Linked DNA regions of Oryzias latipes. The protein of the gene in region 2 interacts with the protein of the main gene of each other region in a biochemical or structural test. Links are inferred from orthologs where the notes say so. Each region holds a gene or a part of one and is shown on either strand. Other genes may lie near its edges.

The links.
Region 1: the proteins of matrix metalloproteinase-14 (region 2) and lum interact in a biophysical measurement, tested with the Homo sapiens proteins (2 studies listed by BioGRID and IntAct, with this or other methods). The link is inferred for Oryzias latipes from reciprocal best matches to the Homo sapiens genes MMP14 and LUM.

What each region holds. Positions count from the first base shown.
Region 1 is NC_019881.2:17,040,184-17,044,283, reverse strand, and holds the start of lum (lumican), read right to left. Parts: upstream 2,801-4,100; 5' UTR 2,671-2,800; intron 1,537-2,670; exon of another isoform or gene 1,534-1,536; 5' UTR 1,529-1,533; coding exon 655-1,528; intron 1-654.
Region 2 is NC_019876.2:17,839,221-17,843,497, reverse strand, and holds the start of matrix metalloproteinase-14, read right to left. Parts: upstream 2,801-4,277; 5' UTR 2,540-2,800; coding exon 2,462-2,539; intron 1-2,461.

The DNA of each region.
Region 1 (4,100 bases), on a different chromosome or scaffold from region 2:
TTCTTCTTTTTTTTTATGTGTACCAGTGCATGACTGCCAGCTACAGTGGAAGAGCGACATTTGGAAGCTGTGCAAATCACGCAAATCTTGCTCCAGGCTTCATCTTTCACATCTCTATGCTGATATGCAAAAGACTTAGTGTCATTGAATTCTGGTTGGGCACAAACCGTTATTATTCATTTGTCTTGCATGTTCAGTTTTCAAATTGAATTAAATTTTTAAGTGAAAGTAAAGGGGTGCCATTCATATGTCACTACCAAATCCCGGTCCTCCATTGGTCAAAGTTCAACCTGGTTTAACTTTTAAACGCACATTCAGTGGCAAAGTGTTTTGTACGTCGAAACGATTGTGGAAACTTGTGAAGCGACGTGTGAATGTGAGAGTTTGAATGCGGAACCCCGAAATGGGCATTCACATGAGTTTACATAGACTTTTGATTGGAAATGGTCGCTTGAACGTGCGTTGCCGAGGGCAGGATGAACGTAGCTTTCAATTTAAACTCAATGAATATTTCTGTTTTTGAATATGTGGCATGCTCATAAGGTAAGATGCTTTTTTTAAAATCTTTATAAAAACCGTTTGTGCTTTGTCATAAAATCTCCGAAGAACACCATTAAATCAAATATGATGACCTTTCCCTAAATCTCAACTTACTGTTGATCTCATTGGCCTGAAGGTAGAGTTGCTCCAGCTGCTCGTTGATTTCAGGAATGGACTGCAGTTTGTTGAAAGAGAGGTCCAGTTCAGTCAGGGACGTCACATTGAAAGCCCCAGCAGGGATTCCAGAGTCCACCATCTTGTTGTGAGAGATCCTCAGGTATCTCAGATTGGGTAACTTGTTCAGGTACCCTGATCCAATGCTTTCAATGTCATTGTGGTCAGCGTAGAGGATTTCTAGTGAGTTTGGGAGTCCAGTTGGCAGTTTCTTTAGCTTGTTGTAACTCACATCCAGGGACAACAGCCCCTTTAACCCCTTGAAAGCTCCTCCTATAGCATCAGAGGTTAACTCATTATGCTGAAGGTAGATGAAGGTCAAGTTCACCTTGTCATTCAAGAGCCCAGCAGGAAACTTGGACAACTTGTTGTTCATAATTTTCAGCTCATCAAGGGACTTTGAGGGAGGGATGACCGGCTCTGTGAGGTTGTTAAAGCTGAAGAACAGCTTCTCCAGGGCTGTGAGCTTATCAATTGTACCCTTCTCAATCTTCGGATTTGTGATCTGGTTGTTGTCAAGTATCAGCCAGCGCAGTTCATCAGTAACATTATCAAAAACTCCAGCTTTGATCTCTTCAATCATATTGTTCTGGAGGTACAGATACTTGATTCCTTTTGGGACCACCGGAACAAACCTAAGCTTGCGGTTATCGCAGTACATGGCGGTGGGGAAAGTGACTGGGCAGGTACACTCTTGATTACAGTTTGGCCCTGATGGCATTGACATGGAATGAGGCTGGTAGTCATAGTCGTACTCTTGGCATTGGGCAAAGCTGACCAGTAAAGCCAAGAGGGGTAGACTGAGAGGAAGCATGACTTCTGCTGGGGAGACAAAAGAGGAAAGGAGATTTGAAAAATATGTTTTTAGCAAAAAAAATTTTTTTTATTTTTTAGGACATAGTTTCTACAGAAGGGCACGAGTTCATTAGCTTCTGAGTTTGGGACAGGACCATTGGCATGGAGCAACCCCACCCTCCTTCCTGTCACCCAGAGCACCCTAAGAGCTTTGTTTACATGCTCTCATAGCCCAACATTACTGGTGCAACAAAAATGGCGAGCAATATTCAAGCTATATGTACAGTTTGAAGCCACATACCATCTCGGATTAGGAACACAAAGACGTAATGGATTTTCTCATCTACAAGTGGATGAATCAGAATGAGGCGGAGCAAGGAGCTCACCCAGCATATTTTGTACATCACAAATATGCTCTTTTACAAACTGCATTTTTTTCTTTTGCTCTAATTCACAACGATTTGAATAAAGACATACTCTGAAATGCATTTTTGAGCTTAATTTTATTTTTACATGCATGTCCTCCATCATGAGAAAATGCCCCAAGGACAAAAACAAAAAACACAATTTTCATCAGAGTGGATTTTCAAGAGCAAAATAAATCTACATAAATAAAATCAATCTGCTGTTCAATTATGGATAGGCAAACAACACGTTGGATTTGAAATTCTTAACAATCACATAAAAAAATATCAACAAAATGTAACCCCAATGGCTCCTGGCACCCAAGGGACACACATATAGTTCCAAAATCAGTCAAGAATTTATGTCAACCACGCTTGGACCAACAAATCCAGATGTTCGCTTTAGTGTCAAGCCACATTAAAGATTACAGCAGAACCAAAAAACACAATCTTAATAAAAATAGTGATCCAGTTTGGTGCAAAAGGTAAATGAAACAAATTTAGAAAAAGGTCCAACACTCTGAGCCATTGGAAGTGCAACAAAATTGACTTTTAATAGTACCGACCGATTGATTCTTGAGAAAAATACAGACACAAAATCCAACCTAACCTAAGCAGGTGAAACGTAAATACCAGTATTTAAACCTGTCCTTACTTTTGCTTAATTAATAACATGTATTTGCAGTATCAGCCTAAAACAGCAATTCCATCAGGAAAAAACAGACATAAATTCAAACAGGAAATCTCAAAGCCATACCTGTGCTTCTCTTTCTTTGTGTTTTTGGGGTGGAAGGCCAGGAGGTAAGAGCAATGTGGTGTGGAAAAACTGCAAATCTCTGGAGAAAAACAAAAAAGAGAAAAGAGGGGGAGGAGAGACGGGTTGATGGAGAGACTGAAGAGAAAAGGGGAGGGAAGAGGAGCGGAAAGATGGGAGGCTTAGCAAACAGGAGTCAGGACGTCATCCCGAAACCTTTGTCCAAAAGCCTGGTGGTAACTAACAAAGAACAGGTGCTGCAAAGAATTTGGAATATTTCAGCACATCTTTACCAACACTTCTTAGCAATATATCTGTGCACAAAAATCCAAATTTTTCTTATGAACAAATGTCCCAGAATATGCGTGCAGAACCTGAGCTTGAGTAGCTGTAGGAATGTTCTGGTAAAAAAAAACAGATGTGTGGAAATAAATATGCAACAACCTTTGGCAGCCATTATACCAGACGGCAGTTTTGAGGAGAAAATGAATTGAGCCGTGCCTCACAAGCTTTGGAAAATCTGACAACAGCACACAAAAACTGCAAAAGCAGACTTATGCAACACTTGATGCAAACATTTCATCTTCTCTTTTTGTTTTTGTTTTTACCAGGACGAAAGAAAAAAGACAATGTGAGGCAGAACCAAATGATTCCATATGCCAGTGGATTTTTCTATCTTTTAACATAGTTTAAAGCTCAGACTCATTGCGCGTATGGTACAAAGATGTGTTGTTCTAACAATAAAATAGAACAAAAGTCTGAGGTGCTCTTTAATCTTTTGAACAATTATCGTCAGATCATAACATGCATGTGGATTGAATTGGTCACAGTGTGGTCTGGTAGTCCACTTACATATCCAGTGATCAATTCAAAAATCCCTTTAGATAAAAAAAAATCTATCTGCAGAGTGTAACGGTAGATTAAGAGATTGGGATATGTTGTGCCTAAACTTTTATTTAAAACATAATAGTTTGCATGTCTTCTTTGTAGTTTTAGGACATTATAAAGCTTTATAAAGTTTAGTTGGGTTTTGGGTATTTAAATGTGAATTTAAAAAGACGGAAAACTTAGATTTGTTTCGGAAACTTGCTCAAAAACATTCCTTTTAGTTCTTGGTTAAAGGTTTTTGTGATACGTTGTGTTTTTTATTTTGATTTATTTCAGTTTTCATGTTTGTTTAGTCAGTTTTTTTTCTTTTTTATTTGTAGGCCTCGCTTAGTATCACACCTGTTTTCATTTTTCAATCATCAAACCTGTTTTCTGTTTGGTCATTACCTCTCAGTCTATATATAAAGGTTTGGTTTTCCTTCCATCTTTGCTGGATCTTTGTGTGTTTAACCTTTAATTAGGCTAAAGATACAAGGTTTTTGTTCAGCCGTGTTCAATTTCATTTATTTATCTAATTTCTTCTTAGTTCATAAATCAGGCTCAGC
Region 2 (4,277 bases):
AAACGTTAAGCCTAGAACCTGACCTCAGTCGATTCCAACAATCTGATCATGCTAATCAAAAACCAGATGATCAAAATCAGATGATGCAAGCTGGACCGGTTTACTTATGAACACATGTTCATCAGTTTCTAATTATCTGAGCCTGTTTAGGTGTCAAAAGCTGCCAGTCAAATCTCTGTTTTATTTGACCATGACAAGAGTTTTTTCTGAAAGTATAAACCCCTCCAAAAACGAGAAACGAAATGAAACCCAGATGTGTTTGGACCATGAAACATGTGTCTTCAGATGCTAAATTTCCCATTTTTGTAATGTGTTGGGAACTTGCTGTTTTTATTGCTGCCCGCTTCCTTTGGTCGTAGTGTCTAGCTAAGCATTTTATTAAACTTTAGCAAGGTTTGAGAGGGGGAAAAAATGTGAATGAAAATAATGTCCTGAGGCCAACTTCAGAAGAGACCATTTCATTTTCTGAGAAGTGAGGAAGTTTTACGTCTCTCTTGGTGGGGCTTCTTTTTTCACTCAACATGCATTAAATGGGTTTAGTGTGTCAGGATGAAGTCAGAGAAGGATGTTCTTGAATTGGGCAACACTATGACACCACAAAGTTCCTCTGAAACTTTGAAATGTGCTTTATTTGAAGTTTCTAAAAAAAAAACCTGTCATAAGGAGTTTCACTTCTGTTGAACACCATTGTTATTTTGTTTCAATATTTTGTTCTCTATCTGCCAAGTTCCAGTTTAGTCTTTTTTTTTCTGAGACAGACGTGTCTATCTTTTGATCACAGGTTTCTTATGCTGATGTAATCCTGAACCTATAATTAAAGTTGAGCCTCTTTCTGCATTCAGACTGACTTCAGGTCACTGGAGACTTTTGTGGAGGCAAACTTCACCAAGACACAACATTTTCACTTGATTCCTGATATGAGTGGGAAAAATGCAGTCTATTTCATCTCCACCTTGATTCCAAGATGTGATCTCAATTTGAAGCAGTCAAATTTTCTGCAATCTTGTTTCTGTTTAAACCATAACATGTGTGAGCTCAGTTCTCCATGGTGGGGGAGCCGGCTCCAGCTTCTTGTAAACTGTCTGACTTGCCTTTGTCTCGCCTTGTGGTCAGTGACTAAGGTCTGCTTTGGCTACATTGCTCATCCAGTGCCCACCCACAATGCAACACAGTCTCCTGCAAATGTCCTCCAATGCTACTTTTCTGCAGGAAATATGACTATTTGGTGTGCAGGGAAGTAACAATTCCTTATTGCAATGATTCGATTCATAAACTTATTTGTGGTTGACAATCCGATTTATGGTCGCTTCATTTTAAACGATCTAATTCGATCCGATTCACTGACCTAAAATCTATTCAGCACATCTTTGACCAAAAATTCAACCAGTGAGACTCAGAGATGAATACCTGGGCACTGAACAGCGCAAGTGAAGTTTTCCAGATTCCTTTGTTTTTTATGCAAAATAATCAAGTGTAAATCAAATATGTGTACAAACAAACAAGAAAACAGGAATTGATGGCAAATATGTTTACATTTAAGTTTCATAAATTTCATTGTTTTTCCACATCAAAATAACACAAACAGAACATTATTACAACATTCTTTCACACTGTATGGTCACATGTCAAATTTCCACACATTGGACAATAATGATGGCCTGATCATTTTTTTCCTGCCATCACAAGTGTGTTTGTCCGTTTTGATCCACTTGGTCACGTTTACATCATATTAAAATAAACCTATCGATCCTCAATCCAAATGGTATTTTCCAATATTGATATAGTCGAAATATTTCATGTTTGAAACAATTTTATATTGTTATAGATTGACATTATTAACAACTTGAATTGAAGGAATATAATCAAAGAAGTTGATTAATCGTTAATTGGTATATAAATCCAATTTCCTGTAAAATCTATGGTGCGATCTGGGTCATTTCAGATAAGCATCTCCGATCTGTGTTTCCTCACAGCTTTGCTGATTAAGATGTGACAGGGATCTTGCACAAAAATACCTTCAGTTCTTCTTTGACTCCTTAGGAGCACAGACATGTTGCGCAAGCCTTGTTTACCAAAGTAAAGGCTTAAATGTTAGTGTTTCCATGGAGCAAAAACTGCAGCCCCTCAGACCCTGAGTTGAAGCTCCTGAAGTTTGTGAAAGCAAAAAAGCTTCCAGAAATGGTGTCTCCTCAAACCAAACAGATGAAACCCATTAGCCCCCTCCCCCTTAGTACCACCACTGCTCCCCCTTTAGAACAAAGCAGCTCAGCTGAGCCGTGCAGACAAAAACAAACGTGGACACTTGAGGATTTATTTACAAAAATATGAGGAGGAAAAGGGAAAAAGAGGATATTAAAAAAAAAAAACTATCAAATTTACAAACTTCAAGCTCATAATTAATATGCCCTAGTTTAAAAAATGCATGATTAATTAATAAAAAACAAACATGGATCAGCCTTACCTCTGCTTCCAGCACATTTGCTGAGATTAAGCTCCAGCAGCAGAGCGCGCAGGTCAGGCCGAGCAGCTGCAGCCGCATTTCTGCCCAACTTCACCAACCGTCTGTCTCCCCGACGAGAAGACGAAACTGTCCTCACAGGCACCAGAGACGAGGAGGAAACCGAGCAGAACTGACTAACTCCACATCTGAGCGCACACAACAAATCCAGCGCAAAATACCCGGGACTTAGGGGGCTGTGTCTCTGAACCGAGCGCACGAAATGTTCAATAAAGTCAGAAAAGTCTACGCAGTAGAGCCTCAGTTCCTTTAGGGTTGCTCCGTGAAGGGAGGATATTGGTGAAAGATTTTTTTTCTGCGCAGGGTCCTCCTCCAGATGTGCGCACGTGATTCCACGGCAACGTCAGGACATCTGCCAGGCAAGTTCAGTCTGGATCTGAACAGTTTTCATGCAACAGGACAGCAAAATACCACACTAAATGTACATCTGTATACATTTAAGTCAACATTTCTTGTAAATTTCGTAAATTCCTATTGGTTGTTGCTGCATACAGATTGGGATCAAGAACGTTTATTTCTTATCTTACCTAATCGAGTGTTTGAGTTTTGAATAGTTAATATTGATGCTTTATATTATATTTTTTATGAATTTGTGTTATATTTCAAATGTTGAACAAACAATCACATCACATTTTAAGGTTCCCCCATTGGTCCTACTGGCCTAAAAAGTTCATCTCCAAAATCTGAACTTTTTTTTTTAGTTTTGAGTTTCTTTTTCTCAGGGCAGTTCAGTATCATAGTTTGGAAATGCACACAACTGTTTTACAAATGTACACATTCTGATTCACAAATATATATGTATGCAAACACGTAATACACTGTACATTCACATGTGCACATTCTTTGTTTCACAAATATAATTTTGAGGTACAATTATGATACTGAAATCACCCGATAGTCTTCTTCCTCGTCTCCCATTGTTGCATTTATAACTGTATGTACTGTATGTCTTCTAGCTGATGCTTTGATGTTTTTGTGTTAGTCCAACTCAGAGGTCAGAAACCTTTAAAGCCATTTGATCCAGTTTCTTACTGACCAAAACCCAGCGATAACTACAAAGTCCCACCTCTCCGTTTAGAAAAAATACCTTTTATCTATTTTTTGTGTTCATTTATTTTTTTCAGTTATTTAAAACAAAAAAAAAGCTTTTAAATATTTATAATAATTGTTAAATTATGACTGTTATATTTTTCTACACTTAACAATTTCATTTACTTTTGACAGCAGCACATAAAAGTTCCTTTCAGAATAAAATACATCCTGTGTCAAATCAGATTCTCCTACTGCAGCAGATTTACTTAAATTAGAAATTCCAGAAAGCCAAACATTACGTTTTTCTTGCCATGACTAGTGCACCTTCATCCTTTTTCTCCTTTTACTTCTGAAGATTAACAGAACACTGGTGTAAAATCCAATAGATGCAACTACAGTATATACTTTAAGAACTTTGCCTTTGAACAGCAACTGTTATGCAGCAGAAGATGGTATTTAAGCTCGTTCTAATAAAAAATATCAATGAAACTTAATTAACTAAAACACATTAATTTAAACTACAAACCCATTTGTTCAGATTGTTGGCATTTTTCTTCAAAGCCAAAGAGGGAAAAATGGGGTCGTGTGTGGCTCTGGAGCTTCAGGTTGCAGAACCCTAGTCTAACCCTCTCTCTTTTATATCCCACAATCCATCACAACAGATGGCCGCCCTTACTGATAAAGGTCTTTCTCTTCTCCATTCAGCATCATTCCACAAAAAACTGTC